Linked DNA regions of Canis lupus familiaris. The protein of the gene in region 2 purifies or fractionates together with the protein of the main gene of each other region. This does not show direct contact. Links are inferred from orthologs where the notes say so. Each region holds a gene or a part of one and is shown on either strand. Other genes may lie near its edges.

What was found.
Region 1: the proteins of TSC22D4 (region 2) and NRBP2 purify together in Homo sapiens (affinity purification with mass spectrometry; 3 studies listed by BioGRID and IntAct, counting the BioPlex papers as one, with this or other methods). This does not show direct contact. The link is inferred for Canis lupus familiaris from reciprocal best matches to the Homo sapiens genes TSC22D4 and NRBP2.

Annotation. Positions count from the first base shown.
Region 1 is NC_049234.1:38,139,699-38,143,971, forward strand, and holds the start of NRBP2 (nuclear receptor-binding protein 2), read right to left. Parts: upstream 3,021-4,273; 5' UTR 2,973-3,020; coding exon 2,850-2,972; intron 2,434-2,849; coding exon 2,311-2,433; intron 2,240-2,310; coding exon 2,138-2,239; intron 2,028-2,137; coding exon 1,938-2,027; intron 1,797-1,937; coding exon 1,741-1,796; intron 1,657-1,740; coding exon 1,562-1,656; intron 1,442-1,561; coding exon 1,418-1,441; intron 1,347-1,417; coding exon 1,263-1,346; intron 1,188-1,262; coding exon 1,132-1,187; intron 1,037-1,131; coding exon 941-1,036; intron 22-940; coding exon 1-21. UniProt on the Homo sapiens protein: May regulate apoptosis of neural progenitor cells during their differentiation.
Region 2 is NC_049227.1:9,141,509-9,145,734, reverse strand, and holds the start of TSC22D4 (TSC22 domain family protein 4), read right to left. Parts: upstream 2,915-4,226; 5' UTR 2,554-2,914; intron 2,113-2,553; 5' UTR 1,834-2,112; coding exon 1,072-1,833; intron 1-1,071.

The DNA.
Region 1 (4,273 bases), on a different chromosome or scaffold from region 2:
CAGGCACGAGAGGATGAACTCCTGGGGGCGTAGAGGGGAAAGGCTCAAGTGGGTGGAATCTCTGCTCCAGCTCCACAGTGTGAGGAGGAGGCCCCTGAAGTCCCCAAATCCCCAGGGTCCAGTCCTCATGGGAGTCTTCCAGGAATGGGCATAGGGAGCCACATACTGTGAGCAGCGAGGCCAGGACCTGGTTCTACCAGTAGGACAGTCAGGCCCGAGGCCCAGAACTTTCCATGCTCTACTTCCCATAACCCTCACAAAAACCACAGGGAGTAGGTGTCGTCATCTGCAGTTCACAGATGAGGTCTGCTCTGCCTGGTGGGGGACACCAGCCCCTGCCCTGCAGCCCCAGATTGCACCTCAGCTCAGGCCCAACTCCGGGGATGACCCTGATGGGGCCCCACCCTGCCCCACATACGCATCTGCATCCTCCGCTGCCTTGCCGGCTTTGTGCCTCACGGGTCCCATCCCAGCCCCATCCTGGCCCCATCACTTCTGACCCTGATCTCTAGAGGCCATGTGGTCAAGCCAGATAGTCTAGAGAGACTATGGACACGGCTTCCACTCCACACTCCCTTTTCTGGCCCCCAACATAAGTCACGTGGCTTCTAGCTGGTTTCCTGGAGGGTTCAAGGCAGGGATGTGGGCTCGAGCCTCTCGGAGCCTCTTTCCTGTCTCCAGAACCAGCAGAACAATAGGCTCACAGAGGGAGTATCTGTCTAGTCTCTCCCTCCTTAGAAGGACCCTTAGAGCCTTCAGGCCTGAAACTCAACACACACCATGAGGAAAGACCCTCCTCGCAGGTAGGCCTTTGTGCAGTGGGACTGGCGTCCCCCTCAGCGGCACGGACGGCTGCACCTCCAGGCCTGACCCAAACACCACAATGGCCCCACATGGAACCCTTGAGAACCAGTTGGGAGGAGTGAGGCAAGCTGCTTACCCGCATGTTGGGGTCACTTAGTGAGTGCCTGGCACGAGTGATGGCCTCTTCCGTGACCCGGGTGTCCCCGTTGGCTTGGATCTCCAGCACAGCCATCTGGGAGGCAGGGCCAGGTCAGGCACGGAGAAGAGACAGCACGGTGAGATGCAGGGTGAGCTATCTGGGAGGCCATGAGGCCCCGGGGCTAGTACCTCCAGCGCACACATCCCAAAGGAGAAGATGTCCACAGCAGTGCCATCGGCAACCTCTGCAGGGGGGAGGGCAAGTCACAGTGGATAGGGAAGATGTGGTGACACCAGGAGCTCCTGGACCCAGGACTCACCGCCGTACTCTGGGGGGAAGAAATGCAGGTTCCGTAGTTCCTCACGCTCCGCACGTATAGGGCTTCGGAGGTCGTCTGGGAGTGCTGTGGAAAGCGCAGAGGATGAGCAGACTGCACCTCTCCATGCCCCCCCAACCCCCTGAGACCCCACGCACCGTTGGAGAAGATGCGGTGCCACACTGCACCGGCCACCACAGGGAGAAAGAGTAGGCGTCAATGTGATGGGGCACTGGATGTCCTCTGCCCAGGGGTTCCCGCAGCCCCCCTCCCCCGCCAGCCCCCCCTAACCCCGCCAGCACCGGAGCCAATCTTGATGAGGCCGTTGTGCTGTATGAAGATAGTATCGCTGGTCAGGTTCCCGTGGATGATGGGGGGGCTGCAGGCATGTAGAAAGCTGCAGGGGGAAAGGAGAGCAGGTGTAATCAGGGCGGGGGCACCGAGGGCATGGGGGGTGGCAGAGACCAGGCCAGGCCCTCACCTGAGTGCAGACAGGATCTGTGTGCACCAGCGCTTCCAGGCCTGGTGGCGGATGGACTTCATTGGACGGATGCGGAGAGGTGGCTGGGCCTGTGGTGCCCACCCTGCACCCCCACCTCCCACCCGACTGGCCCCAGCCCGTTCCCCGAGCTGCCCCTCACCCACATCCCTGATGCAGTCCCAGCCCACTCCCCATACCCGAGCGTTCATGGCCTTGTGGTTTTTCTTGGTCTTTTTGAGGAATTGCTTGAGGCTGCCCGACGACACATACTCCGTGATGAAGATGACCTGCGGGGCGGGTGGGCTCCGCCAACTGCAGGTGGGTCCCTCCCACCCCCACCCCAGCTGGGCCCCACCCCACCCTCCGTGTGCGGGTGCTGGGACGAGCCGTGGCTCACCCGCGCCCAGGCGTCTGAGGCATCCAGCCAGTACTTGTGCAGCTTGACAATGTTGGGGTGGTCGACCAGCACCAGCTGCTCAAACATGGTCTGGATCTTCTCCTGGGAAGGGGAGTGGGGTCACGGGGGAGAAGGGAGGGGGGCACAGCCGCTCGAGGGTGGGCAGGCCTCACCTCATGGGCTGCGAAGGCCTTCCTGTCGGCGAAGTGCAACTCGTTCCACACCACCTCCACCCCCTCCTCTGTGTCCATGGCCAGGAAGGTGCTCTGGACCCCGGGCATGTTCCCCTGGTTCACCTGGGGGGGAGGGGATGGATGTGAGTGTGATGGGTGTCGGGCAGCAGAGTGGGGGCTTGTCTCTGCCCACTCCTTGGAGGGGAGAGCGAGCTGAGTGCTGGCCCTGGCCCCCCGGGGAAGCTGGGGCAGCAGTGGTCTCCGGGGGCTGGGCTTGGGGACGCGGAGCAGATTCCGGGGGATTCAGGAGGGTCTTCACGGGGCCAGCGGCCGGTCTGGTGCAGAGGCATAAGGAGGTGGACCTTAGGGAACTGGGGTTCCCCCAGAGAGCGTGGGAACAGGCCAAAGGGGTCCAAGGGCCGCTAACCAGGGGGCAGGTTCCTTGCCCGGCGCCCCCGGCCCGGCGTGGCCTCCCGCGCCCCTCGGCGAGGTGGGCCGTGACCCCGCGCCCCCGCGCCCCCCGCCCCGCCCCGGCCCACCTGCTCCCGCCGCTTCTGCCAGCGGCCGCACGGGCTCTCCTCCAGGATGTCGCTCTCGTCCTCGCTCTCATCCTCCCGCTCCCGCTCCCGGCCCCGCCTGGGCGCTGGCTCCGGGGCCGCCATGGCTCGTCCGGCCCAGGCCGCCGCCCTCCGAGAGAGCCGCCGCCGCCGCCGCCGCCGCCGCTCCCCGCCCGCCCTGGCCCTGCGCCCAGACGCCCAGCGGGAGCTGAGCGGCCGGCCGCCGCCTCGGGCCCCACCCAGCTCCCGGAATCCGAGGCGCCGGCGCCCGGCCCGCGGGGGTGGAGCCCGCCCGCCCCTCAGAAGCCGCCGCTGCGGGCCGGAGCGCTAAGGGAGCTTCCCCGCCGAGGGCCGAGCCCGCGCCGCGCCCAGCCCGGGCCCCGCCCACCGGGAAGGGCCCGCCCACACGGGAGGCCCCGCCGGACCCGCCGCTGGCTCCGCCCACCGGGAGGCCCCGTCCACCGGGAAGGCCCCGCCCACCCGAGGGCTCGCCCCTCCAGACCCTGCTCCCAGCCCGCCGCCCTGGCTGTCCTGGCCGCCCGCCCCGCCTGTCCCTCCTCGGCCTGCCCCTGTGCTCCCGCTGGGGACCTGCTCCTGCGGAAAGCCTGAGCCCCCAGGCCGCGGGGAGAGGACTCCAGGGTCCCGACCTCGGGGCTCTGGGTGCCAGCCTGCAGCCGGGCACGTCGGGTCCTCCCTGGCCGCCCGGCGACCTGCGTGGGGCCGGGTCAGGGCTCCGGGACACGCCCGGGCCCAGCTCTAGGAGCCGCAGGTTCTCCGTGCGCCCCTTCCGCACCGCGCTCCTGCTCCACACACCCCGAGACACAGCCCCCGATGGCGGCTCCGAGTCCAGGCTTCGGGCTGCAGCCGGCCAGGGTGGGGCGCCGCCGAGGGTCCGGGCGGGCGGGACCTGGGGTGGGCATCTGGGAGGCCCTGCTCCTGGAGCGACCGCCGCCCCCCCATGAACACGTGGGCCGGGCAGGGGAGGGATGGTCAGCAGGCTGACCAGCCGCTTTTAATTCAGGATCACAAACATCCCACTACCTGTAGTTCTGTTCTTCCTATTCGCTTGCAGGTATTCACCATTCCACAATCCGAAATGGCAAATTCCTCCCTTCTCTTCCCCTCCCCTGGATAGCTCCCCACACCCCCCCATAGGAGGAGGCTAAAGTAGAGGGCCCTCCTGACGCACAGCGCCTTTCTCTCCAGGAGGCTCTTCATGGGCCCTGTGGCCATGTCAACAGGACACATGCTCTACAATTCTCTAAATCTCCCTTTACCCCACAGCCCCCACTGCCTGCCCATGGTCTCCCCGTCGCACACCAGCTCAGTTCTCACCCCTCCTTCATTCTCTCTTTCTAGGGAGAGAACTGGTACACACATGTACCTTCTCTCAAACTCCAACCCCA
Region 2 (4,226 bases):
GTAGGGGGCGCAGCATGAGATATGTGAGTTTGAGGCCAGGAGGGGGTGGGGGTAGCCGGTCCTGACCGGTCCTGACAGGGCCCAGACATCCAGTCCCAGGTTATTTTTATACTGTGGTTTGTGCCCAAGGCCAGGAAGGGGGAAAAGTTCTCATCCTCACACTCCCTGCCCTCGCTCCTGAAGTCCAAGGTGTTATTTTCTCCTTCAGGACAGACACATCCATCCCCCACATCCCTGGCGGCCCACCCTCACCCCAGGGACCCAGGCATCCTGCCCCCCAGCCCAGACTTGTTCCTCTTTTGGAGACAGGAAGCAGAAAGACCAGAGGATTTAACTCTTTCTCCACTGCTTCCTGCCTCTCTCCCACTCCCTGGTGGCCACCCCCAGTTATCAATCATGGAGAGGCCTAGATGCAGGGGAGCGGAGACAGGGGCCTGAGGGCAGAAAGGACACACCGCCAAGCCCTCCATCCCACCTAGTTCATCACGTCCTTGGAGAAATTTGACTTGGGACAAAGCTGCAGATGGGGCTGGGATGAGTGGCTAATAAGAAGACAGACCGTCACCTTTGGAATGGTGCGTGGTGCGGCCAGGGAGACTTTCTTTTTACCCCTCCCCACCAACCTGGACAGCTCCTCTCCCAGAGGCCCAAGCACCTACCCCCATCTGGGACCTCCATCCCCCATGCCTGAAGCCAGAAGGGGTGAAACCAAGACAGAAGGTGAGGGCCAAAGTGTGAAGCCGACATCTCTGTGATGGCGAGACAGCACTAAGCTATAAGGAAACAGAGATGGAGGCCAAAGGTAACAAAGGCTTAGAGAAAGAAAGAAGGTGCAGGATATAGGGGAAGAGGGAGCCTGAGAAAGAAAACAAGGCTGCATGAAGAGGAGGATGGACTACTTCCCAGGAAGAGGGCAAGAAGAGAAAAGAGGGACAGACACGTGTTGTTGGAATGGGGAGAGGGTGGTAAGGAGGTGGAGGCAGGGAGGCCCAAGCTGGAGGTTAGGCCCAGGCCCAGATGAACAAGCACCACCCCTCAGGTGTCTCCCTGACCCCAGAACCCAGCTCTTACCTGCCCCATCTCCTCTGGAGCAACCAACTCCATCCTCAGCCGCAGGGCTCCATCCTTTGATCGGGATAGTGGAGGGGTCCCTGTTGCTGAGCCCCCAGCCTCCACTTCCACCCTCAGGGAGGGCAGGGGCGTGGCAGCCCGGGAGGGGCCGGCGCTATCCCCTGTCCTGGGCTCTGGGGGACGCTGCTGGGGTGGGGAGGCTGACAGAGGGGGTGTCTCCACCTTGGCTTTACCAGGTACTGCCAGCTGGCCCAGCCCCCGGGTTAAGGAGCGGGCCTGAGGTCCAGGGGAGGTAGGGGGCGGCCGGAGCCAGGAGGTGGGGCCCTGAGACAGGCCTGGCTGCGGGGTTGGGGCACCCAGGCCCAAGCTGGCCAGCTCCAACCTGGAATCCAAAGATCGGCCCCCAGTGCCCCCCGAGGCCCCTCGAACTCCTTCCAGGAGCCGGCTGAAGCCAGGGGTCTCCAGGTCTCTCTCGTAAACATCCACACACGTCCAACGGCCTCGACGATAAGGCTCTCCCAGGCCATGGGGCAGCTTTACCACCCGGAAACGGGAGGCGGGGGCCCCAGGTGGTGGGGAGCCGTTCCGGGGGGTGCTTTTGCCCCCTGGCTCGGGGCTGGGCTCCCCGTTAGGCAGACGGGGTGGGGGCGCGGTGGGGCCCGGCAGGGCAGGGGGCTCTGAAGACCCTGGGCTCCCTGGGCCCTCATAGTCCGTGGTGACGCTGGTGATTTGAAAACTACTCTTCTTCTTGCCCCCACTCATGGTCCCTGGGGCTCAGGACTCGGCCAAGGTGGGCAGGGGGTGCAGCTGGGGCTCCTCCAGGGGCTCAGGCACCCCTGGAACAGGGGGGCCACATGGCGGGGGCATCAGGGCCCCTGGGGACATCTGGGTCCGACATGGCAGGAGGGCTTTGCAGGAACTGGGGGTACTTGGCTGGTAAAGGGAGCACAGGGCAGGGGAGGTGGCAGGAGGTGGGGGCAGGGGCAGGGGCAGGTTTTTCCTGCCCCTGGCGCTGCCCAACTCCAGAGCTGAGTTTGCAAACTGGAAAGAGAGAGAGAGAGAGAGAGAGTGTGTGTGTGTGTGTGTGTGTGTGAGAAAGCAGTGGGCAGGCCACCTCTGGGGCTTCCTCTCTGGGGAGCAGGATGGGGGAGGAAGGGGAAACCACCAGAGACCCAGAGACAAAGAGACTGGCAGAGACGATTGAGACCAGGAGATCCCAGCGGTCCCACAGAGTAGGAAGGGGCGGCCCAGACCAAAGTTGGGCATTTCTTGCCTGGGATTCAGACTCACAGGACCGAGTCGCCCGACAGCAGGAGGGGGCTCCAGGGCCTTGGACGAGCAGGGGTGAAGCAGCTCCTCGGTCGGCCCCGCCGCCGGGAGGCCTCTGCCGAGTGTCCAGGCTGCCCGCACCCCAGCTCCCCGATCCCGGGCAGGCCCTGCCCCGCTGCCCCAGCGCCCCGCCCAGCCAGCCCAGAGCCCTACCTCTCGGCCTCGGCCACCGAGCTGGGCCGGGGGTCCCGGAGCCTACGATGTCGGGCTGTCCTTCCCGCGGGGGGCGCGGCGGCGATCAGGGGCTGTCCGCTTCTCTTCGGGGGCCGCACTTCGCCCCGCAAGGCATCTTCGTAAAAAGTTTGCTCGCCAGAAAAGAAGGGACCCCCGCCTCCTTGGTGGAGCCCAGGCGCGGCCTCCGAAGCCCCAAGGGTCCCGGGACTGGTGAGGGAAGAGGCGGCTCTGCCCCCACCCCGATCCTCCAGGTGGAGCCGCCTAGGTGGCTGGGGCGAGCAGGTCTCTCAAATCTCCTCCGCGTGGAACCGCTGGGTCTCTCTCCGCTCCTCGGCTCTTCTCTCCGGTCTCTCTGCCTTTCTCTTTCTGGGCTGTTGACAACCCCCACACCAGGAAGTCCTGCCTCCTCGGGCCTGCTGACTGCTCCTCTCCTCCTCCTCCTTCCCCTCTTCCTCCCCTTCCTCCGCCCTCTCTGCCTCCTGGGGCTCCCGGCCAGCTGGCCCGGGGCCAGGCCTGCCACCACCTCTGCTGCCACTGCTGCTGCTGTTCCTGCCCCCCCCCCCCGCCCCCCCCGCAACAGGCTTAACCCCACACCTGCTGGGCCCCAATCCTGCGTTTCCTCGGAGGGAGGGGCCGTGGAGGGCAGAGAGAAAAGGGGAGGAGTTTGCCGGGGGGCCAGGGATTCCCTTACTTGTAGGCACTTGCTGCCATTGGCCTACGGAGAGAGCAAGAACTTGCCAACCAGGGGCTCTGCTGGGTGCCCGCCACCCCATAAGCTGCTGCTCAGCTCTTGCCATATCTTCACTGGTGTTCACAGTAACTCTATGAGGAAGGTTCCGTTATTCTTTCCTGTCTTTATTTTAAAACGTGGATTATGATGACAATTTGCAAATGGGCCCCCAAGTAGAGAAAAATGATAAACTCCCAAGTCCCCATCGTGCAGTTTCAACAATGATCAGCTCACAACCAACCTGGGTTCTTCTATACTCCCAATACCTCTTGTTGTGCTGTGCTGGAGTATTTTTAAAAATCCCAGGCACCATATTATCCCTCTTCTTAGATGTGGATATTGAGACCCGGAAGGTTCCGAGAGGCTGTCAGTGGTACAGCTGGAACATTCTACACACTCAGGTGTGCCCTTGTCTGGCCCCTATATAAAGAAACAAAGAGATGTACTCAGAAATGTGCTGACTTGCACTTTCTCTCCAACCCTGGTCACACACACATGTATACATAATGTACACACAGATGCACCTGAGGACAAGCCCTACCCGCCCACCTCTCCCATCCCATCCCTTCTTTGCTATTGGAGAAGCCACACACACACACACACACACACACACACACGAAGGCCTTACCGAATTACCCAATGCCTGGAATGAAAAAATAACCCTCTGATGGCCACTTTCTCTTTTATGGCACCCTCAACCAACAATCTGAGCAAGAGCAGGGTTGAAAAGCCACATCTGCCTTCACTCCTAGCTTTGGAAGGAATTGGATTCTAATTAATTTTGGTCAGATGGAAGTATTCTTGAGCATATTGAAAATTTCTCATATTTGCCTGCTTTATATAGTTATTTCATGGACTATAAACAGTCGGGGGCAGAGATGGGGTAGGTTTTGAGCTTCAGCGTTTCCGCGGGAGGAAACAG